Canis lupus familiaris: one gene and its partner. The protein of the gene in region 2 interacts with the protein of the main gene of each other region in a pairwise test. Links are inferred from orthologs where the notes say so. Each region holds a gene or a part of one and is shown on either strand. Other genes may lie near its edges. The genes, in order: PRKRA and ADARB1.

Region 1 (3,812 bases), on a different chromosome or scaffold from region 2:
TTCTCCAACCGTATGCTCTAGCCACACCAAACTATTTCGGGTTCCCAGATGGCATATACTATTTTACTCCTGGTCTTTGTAGGTGCTCTTTTTTCTTTGAAATTCTTGTCCTCTGCTCTCATCCTGCAGGTCTTGGCTTAGATATTGCCCCCTCCAAGAAGTCTTCCTTAAACTGCCAGTCTTGGTTGGACCTTCTTCTATGTTCCCAAGCCCTCTCTGTTAGGACCAGCCTATTGGGTTCTTTTCTCTTTCAGGAGGCTACAGACTCCCTCATGGCAGACACTGTCTTATTCAGTGTGCACAGAACCTGGCACAAAGTTTGGCAGACAGTATGAGCTCACTAAATGTTTAATGAGTGGATAAATGAATGAAGGCATTGTCAATTTGAAGGCAAAAATGGCACTACTGGCCTGTCATCTTTAGATCACATGATGTGATTCTGAATTTGACTGTGTCTCCCAAGCCCTCTTACCTGGTCACCCTTGTGACAGCTAAAATTAGGTCATGTACATCTGGACAGTGAAGGGACATTTTAAAAATTGCAACTCTACAGTGTCTGTACAACAAGGAATCCAGGGACGTTTCCTACAGCATGAGATGCTTAATCATATTGACATCATAGGTGTTTTGATCATTACTCACTAAAGAAATGTGGTTCTCTGGAGAAATATTACTGAATTTGGCAAGAAATTTCTCAGCAGCGTTCCTCTTGGCCTGTTTTTTTGATGCCCCCTTTCCTAAATTAAAAAAAAAAGAAAAAGAAATGGTAGGTTTAGAAAAGTAATTAGTATCCACAGAGAGTAATCAGATATATAAGGTATTATTTCTGCTCAGAGAATAACTTCATGATCTTTATATGCTCATCTTTGCTTATTGTGCTTCAAACAATGATTTTTTAAAATATTTATGTATTTTAGACAGAATACATACATGAGTGTGGGGGGAGAAGGGCAGAGAGAGAGAGAGTCCCAAGGAGACTCTAGGCTGAGTGCAGAGCCCAATGTAGGGCTCACAACCCTGAAACCACGAACTGAGCTGACACCAAGAGTCAGGTGCTTAACCTATTGTGCCACTCAGGTGCCCCAATACAACTATTAATTCTATTAATTCTTACATTTATGAAGGCACTTTTGACAGTTTATCTTTAATAGTTATACTTTTTGTTTTTTAACAGGCATATTTCCTTATGCCTAGCTATAATGAATCATATTTGGTTTAATTCTAAGTATTCAAATCTATTAAGGTACTTTTGAATCAATCACAACTCTTTCCTTCTTGATGTCTATTTCTTGCTTAAAATCTTCTATAAACTGACAACTATGTGGAATTCTTCTTTAACATGAGTAAGAAGGCATAGGAGATCTGCAATTAAAAGACAAAGTATTATCTACTTCCATGCTTTTTGTTTTACAGATTTAAAAACTGAGGCCTAGAGAGATGAAGTAATTTGCCTACCTTTGCAAACCAAGGGCTGCATCAAGAATGGAAGCTAGGTGGGGTGCCTGGGTGTCTCAGTCGGTTAAGCATCTGCCTTCAGTTCAGGTCAAGATCCCAGCATGCTGGGATGGAGCCCTGCATCAGGCTCCCTGCTCAGAGGGGGGTCTGCTTCTCCCTCTCCTTCTGCCCCTCCCCCCATTCATACTCTTCTCTCTCAAATAAATAAATAAAATCTTAAAAAAAATAGAAGTTGGGGTTCAGTGCTTTCTATATTGACCTGCACTGCCTCTCAAGGGGCTTGCTGATTACTTGCTTGATTACCTGAAACAGATAGCCAATTCCATTTGGTGCCATTTTAAGAATGCTAGAAACACGCTAGAGAAGCTACAATAGGAACCCTCACTAGTACTCTATTAAGTGACTTTTTTCTCAGTTTCTAGTCCTTACAACATGGAAGTTGCTATCATTATAAAGGATAATTTCTACTTTATTTTTATCTAACACTATTTTTTGCCATCTAGCCTCTTATTAATCATCTTGTTTTCAAATGTGATCTTCTAGTCTTCCAATCTTCTAGAACAGCTGTTGAAACTTCCAAGATATTTGCTATTGCTTTTTTCTAAAATAATTTTTAAGCCACTAACACATCAATGCAGACTATGTAAAGTCAATTATTTACTTTGTTGTTACCAAGCTTTTCCATGATTTTTAAAACTATCAAATTAAGCCTAAGTATTCTTAAGCCAAATATATTTTTAAGCCAAATATTTATACTTAAATTCTACTGCAGAAAGAGATAGTAGAATAAGAGTGCATCAAATTTTTCCCCACAGAAATATTTGAAAGGAAACCATAACAGAAATTTCTAGGGTCATTCATCATCTGAAAATATTTCAAACGCCTTCAGTTGTATGAGTAAAAAGAGTAACTACCAGTTTCCATAAATGACTCTAGCCTGCAAATTGTGGTATATTCTCTCTTATGAGCAGGTCCTCCCTCTTGGGAAAGGGTATATTCAGGAAGTCTCCAGCCATGATGAATAGCCAACTCCTAGAAAATGGAGATGAGGCTTCAGTAGTAATTTTTACTATGCAACAGCTTCATCACATAAATGATAGTCTTTCATGATTTCTATCCTATTTCTATTTCTATGTTTGAAAAGAATAATGATATTCTGCAATAGAAAAATGGGAGAAGACCCTGTATTTCCCACAAATATTCCTGCATTTTGTATCTTGCAAGCCCACAATACCGAAACTGAAGCAGTTTACTGCTAGGATGGGAATGGTGTTCTTTCATTAAGCCACAGCGAGCAAATATCAAAGAGCTCAAAGAGAAAGACGAGCTACTATCGCCCTTTTGGGGAACATCGACAGGTCTCACTGTCATCAGTTCCTAATGCCTCTCCCTCCTAGCTACAGACTTCCTGCCCTCAGCTGGCTAACTACTGCACTAGAACACGAGCAGATGAGCAAAGGCAGCAAATATACAGACTTGGACAATCAGGAAAGATCAGGGGAAGAAAACTATAGAAAAGACAGCAAGAAAGGGACCAAAGGCCTGGCTGGGTAACAGGGAGGAGAGTTGTCCAACAGAGCACATAGATAATCTGCAAGAAAGATATTCTGCATGCAGAACTTCAAAGCTGATTTTTTTTTTTTTTGGTAGAATAAGCAAATAGATGACTTCCCCTTTTTTTGAGGTAGGTTACCCAATTTGGGTTTTTATTTATTTGTATTTTTATTTTTTTATAATAAATTTATTTTTTATTGGTGTTCAATTTGCCAACTTACAGAGTAACACCCAGTGCTCATCCCGTCAAGTGCCGGCACTGAGGGGGGCCAATTTGGGTTTTTAATAAAATCTTCTGTCTTAACAGAAGTGGAAAGAAGTTTGTCACAAGAGTGGCAAGAAATATTCTTAAAGTATAAAACACTCTACCCATGTGCACTGGGGTCCTGCTGATCTCAAATGAGAATTCCACAAACCAAAGGCAGATACTGTATATGGAAGAAAATCCAAAACATAAATAAACAGGAGAATAATTTCAAGTTAGTGCTGTAATATCCAATGATCATAACTGGGAAAACAGAATATTATACATCTTATCTTTAAACTATCTATTCCTTGTTTCAGCCCTTGTGATATTATTACTTTATGACATCTTTCTTCAATAGACAAAATGTTACAGAAGGAAAAACCATGTGACTTACCTGTAATGAACCAATAGGATTAAGCTGGTTCTTTGGTTGCTTAGAAGGGTCAGGCATTAAGGGGTCAGGAACTGCAAAGCTGAACATTTTTTTAAAATGTTATAAAACAAAATAATTTTCTCCAAACTATTAAATAAATGAATGCATTTCTTATCTAATCTT
Region 2 (3,812 bases):
GGGACCTGCCTCTGCACCTGGCTCTCCCAGCCCCTCCCCGGAGTGACCTCCCCGCAGGTGGGGCGCCATCAGCTCGAGGGCTGGCCGGGCCGGGAACATGACCTCGAGTGTGACGGACATCAGGGAAGGGAAGGGGCGGCAGGAAGATCCACGTGGCTCAGCCCCGCTGCCCTGGCTCGGCCACTGCCCAGGAACCGGCGCCGAGCAGCCCGCAAGGGCACTTATCATAAACTCAGGCCCCAGGGCACCCGACGGCACCCACGGCCGTGCTCTCCGAGGGCCCGTGGCCAGACCCGCCGCGCGCAGCACACACACCAGGCCGGCTGCATGCACGCTCTCGTCCCCACGGCCTACAACTTATCTCGGATACAAGGGTTTGGGAAATGATGCCTGACGGGAGGTGTGTGTGAAGAGCTGCGTCCCCCCAGTCTCACCCTGGGCGGGAGCATCAAACAGCTAGACCCAGGGTCCCCAGCTTGCCCCTTAGCAAAACACTCCCAAATGGACAGAAACGTCGCTCATCCCGAACGACAGCTTATTTTGACAAAAAGGAAAGTCGCCAGGACTTCTTCCTCCTGCCGCCGCCCCGGTCAGTACCAAGGAGCCCCCAGAAGGCCGCGCTCAAGCCAGAGGCAGCGGCACGGACGGAAGACGTGGGCGGCAGGCCTCCCCGCACCCCTGCACGGTGTCACTGCCACACTCGGGCTGCGGGCGACCCGGCGGGGACGGCGTCAAAGATGAAGGACCACGTGTTGCAATGCACATAAAAGAAAAAGATCTTACGAGAAGTTAAGAGAAACGCTTCCGTTCCGTAGAGGCGAGGCGTATCCCAAACCACTGGGCTCAGAGACGCTCAGGGGAGGTCAGGCCCCTACGCGGGCGCTCACTGGTCAGAGGAGGCATCTCCGGCACCCAGGCGGCTCCTCCGTCCCCTTGAAGAGGACACAACCCCCTTCCTACAGGTAGGGAAGCGACTCTCCCTCTACATGCTGGGGGCGGACGACACAACGAGGGTCACGCCCATGTCCCCCAACCCCGGGCGGCCCCCAGGACTGAGAGGCCCCGGCCCAAAGCTGGCGGTGCCGCTCCACGGGATCCAGACACTGAGGGCTCGGCACACCTCACGCGGCCCACAACGTCTGGGTTAAACCCTGAGACGTCGCTATGAACACGATGAGGGCAAAAGGTCCTGAGGCCAGGGACTCAGGGCTGCTCCGGGCCAACGGTGAGGACGCTCGCCACTCCAGAAGCACACTGGAAACTTCTGGTGCAAGGGCACGGAGCCCAGACACCAAGCTGGAAGGGCTGCTCCTATGGGGGCCACTGTAGGTGCTCCCGGGAGAACGTGGTCGTGTCTCCCGTGGGGGCTCCGGAGACACCACGGTTGGGGCTCGGGGAGCTCCGCTGCCGCAGAGGCGCAGAAATGAGCGCCAGGCCCTGCAGAACCCGGGCGAGTGGCACGGGGCAGGGCTGGGATGGGCCCTGCCCGCCAACCCCCTCCTAGGCGGGATCCCGGACGCCCACCCCGGTGAGGCTCCGCGTGGCCCCCGGCGCGGCTCTGGTCTCTGCTCCCGCTGAAGGACAGGCCCAAGCCGGGAAGTGCCCACATGGACCCCCACCTGCCTCCCCGCCCGCCTCCCCGCCACGGGGTCACCAGGCCTCGGGCGGGATTCCAGTCGCCCCCCACACTGCTCTGTCCACGTCTGCTCATGTTCAGGGAAGTCAGGGGGCCTCAGACACTAGGGGAACTCAAGCTGGAATATCCTGCAGCAGACGGGAAACCTGAAAATAAAACCTCTCTAGGGAGCTGGTGCTGCCGATTTATGAAATTATAAATGGGCTAATACCCTCCTGAATAAAGGTTCATAAGATGTTCGCACAGGACGTGATTATTGGGTTTGTGAAGTACCAGTAGGATGTTTTGAATATGGTACTTTATACTGACGCTGTATTTGGTTGCTTCTGGCAAAATAAAATAAAGTGTCTCCTAAAACCTAGAAGTACTGGTGACCCCAGGCAACGGCACAGAGAGGTCACCCTAACAGTGCTCTGAGGCAACGGAGAAGCTGCGACATTCCGGATTCTTCTAAGAAAAATCCAAGCCGTCCCACCTGGTGATTTCCGGTCCTTCGTTTTTTTTTCTGATCAGACCAGTACGTAACTTATCTTCAACACGGATAATATTTTGACAAAATGGCAGAGAAGGGGGGTGAGATTTTCTCCCTAAAATACTAACTTTTTTACTAGGCCAGAAAAAACTCTGGATTTCCAAGAAGAGAAGCAACACATATCAGAGTTCCCTGGAACGTCAGAGATGCCGGCTACACGCGACTTCCCCTTCGGTCTTCCCCATTCGCGAATGCGATGAGCCCACCCCGAAATCCTCCCCGTCTTCCCCCTGGTCTGACGGGCCGAGGAGCAGGGGACCCACGTGGATCCCCTAGGACACTCCAGGTGAAGGTTCCGGGCAGCGTGGATGCTGCCGAAGGGATCCCTCGCCCCCCACCGCCCCTCCAGGACGCCCGCACCTGTTGTGGGGCACCCTCGGCCCGGCCGGTCCCCCGTGCTGCTGTGCAGCGTGGGGCACCCACGCAGACCCGCACGAGGGTGTCGGCTGCCGGCGGGCCAGCCTGGGAGTCCCTGGTGAGACTGCGGGAAGCACGGCTGAGCGGCGCGGGCTGCCGGCTCCGAGGGGCCCCGCGGGGGAGGAGCGTGCGGGAAGGGGCCGCGGGCTCTGGTGGGCGGGGCTCCGTGGGCCCGCGTGGGGCTGCAGGCCCAGGGCCGCCCGCCCGCCCGCCCGCCCGGAGCCGACTCACCGGTGACGATCCGACGTCCCTCAACGGCGCCCGGGAGGCCGAAGCCCTGTCCGAAGCGCCGTCGAGGCGCGGCCAGCGTGGCCGGCAGCGGCGCGTTCCTCACCTGCGGTAGGTGCAACTGCAGGCCCTCGCTGGGGATGGGCTGGCGGGACGGCGTCTGGTCCAGGTGCAGGTTAAAAATGGTCGCCAGGGCGGACTGCGCGGCCCGGGCCTTGGCGAGCTTTTTGTTCCTGCCCGAGCCCTCGAAGAACTGGCCGTCCACCACCACGGACATGACGAAGCTCTTGGCGTGGCTCTCCCCGCTCTCCGACAGGAAGTCGTACTTGAGCCCGGGCCGCAGCTCGTTCAGGATCATCACCGGGTTCTTCCCGCTTGGGGGCGGGAAGGGCGGGGGCCCGGGGAGCGGGGGCTGCGCCAGGCCCGCGGGCGCCGGGGACGCCGCCAGGCTGAGGTCCCCGCTGGAGCTGAACGAGTCGTCCCCGTTGGAGCCCAGGTAGAAGGGCACCTCCGACCTGTCCGGGGTCTCGAAGCCGTTGAAGAGCGTGTCGGGGAAGTCGGCCTGGTCGGACGTGAAGTCCGTGTTGGCGGACAGGGTCCTCCCCATGGCCAGGTGGGCCTCGGAGGCGTTGGGGAACTGCACGAAGGAGCGCAGCGCCTTCTCGGCGGCGTGCAGCTTGGCCTTCTTCTTGGTGGGCCCGGAGCCCTCGAACACCTGCCCGTTCACCTCCACGGACATGACGAACAGAGGCGCGTGCACCGGCCCCGTCTGCGACAGCAGCGCGTACTGCAGGCCGGGCTTGATCTCGTTCAGCTGCATCAGGGCGTTCTTCGGCAGCGCGGGGCCCGGCGGCCGCCTCCTCTTCTTCAGGCGGAACTTGGCGTGCCCGTTGCTGCCCTCTTCCAGGGGCCGCTTCCGGCTGGCGCCACCGCTGCCCCCGTTGGAGAGCGGGGCGCCCTCGCCGGGCCCGGGGGCGCTGCCGTCCTTGGGGGGCACGC

What was found.
Region 1: the proteins of ADARB1 (region 2) and PRKRA interact in binary tests that used the Homo sapiens proteins (3 or more experiments, as listed by UniProt). The link is inferred for Canis lupus familiaris from reciprocal best matches to the Homo sapiens genes ADARB1 and PRKRA.

Annotation. Positions count from the first base shown.
Region 1 is NC_049257.1:22,402,421-22,406,232, forward strand, and holds part of PRKRA (interferon-inducible double-stranded RNA-dependent protein kinase activator A), read right to left. Parts: intron 3,730-3,812; coding exon 3,651-3,729; intron 2,488-3,650; coding exon 2,370-2,487; intron 738-2,369; coding exon 643-737; intron 1-642. UniProt on the Homo sapiens protein: Activates EIF2AK2/PKR in the absence of double-stranded RNA (dsRNA), leading to phosphorylation of EIF2S1/EFI2-alpha and inhibition of translation and induction of apoptosis.
Region 2 is NC_049252.1:38,698,451-38,702,262, reverse strand, and holds part of ADARB1 (double-stranded RNA-specific editase 1), read right to left. Parts: coding exon 2,920-3,812; intron 1-2,919. UniProt on the Homo sapiens protein: Catalyzes the hydrolytic deamination of adenosine to inosine in double-stranded RNA (dsRNA) referred to as A-to-I RNA editing.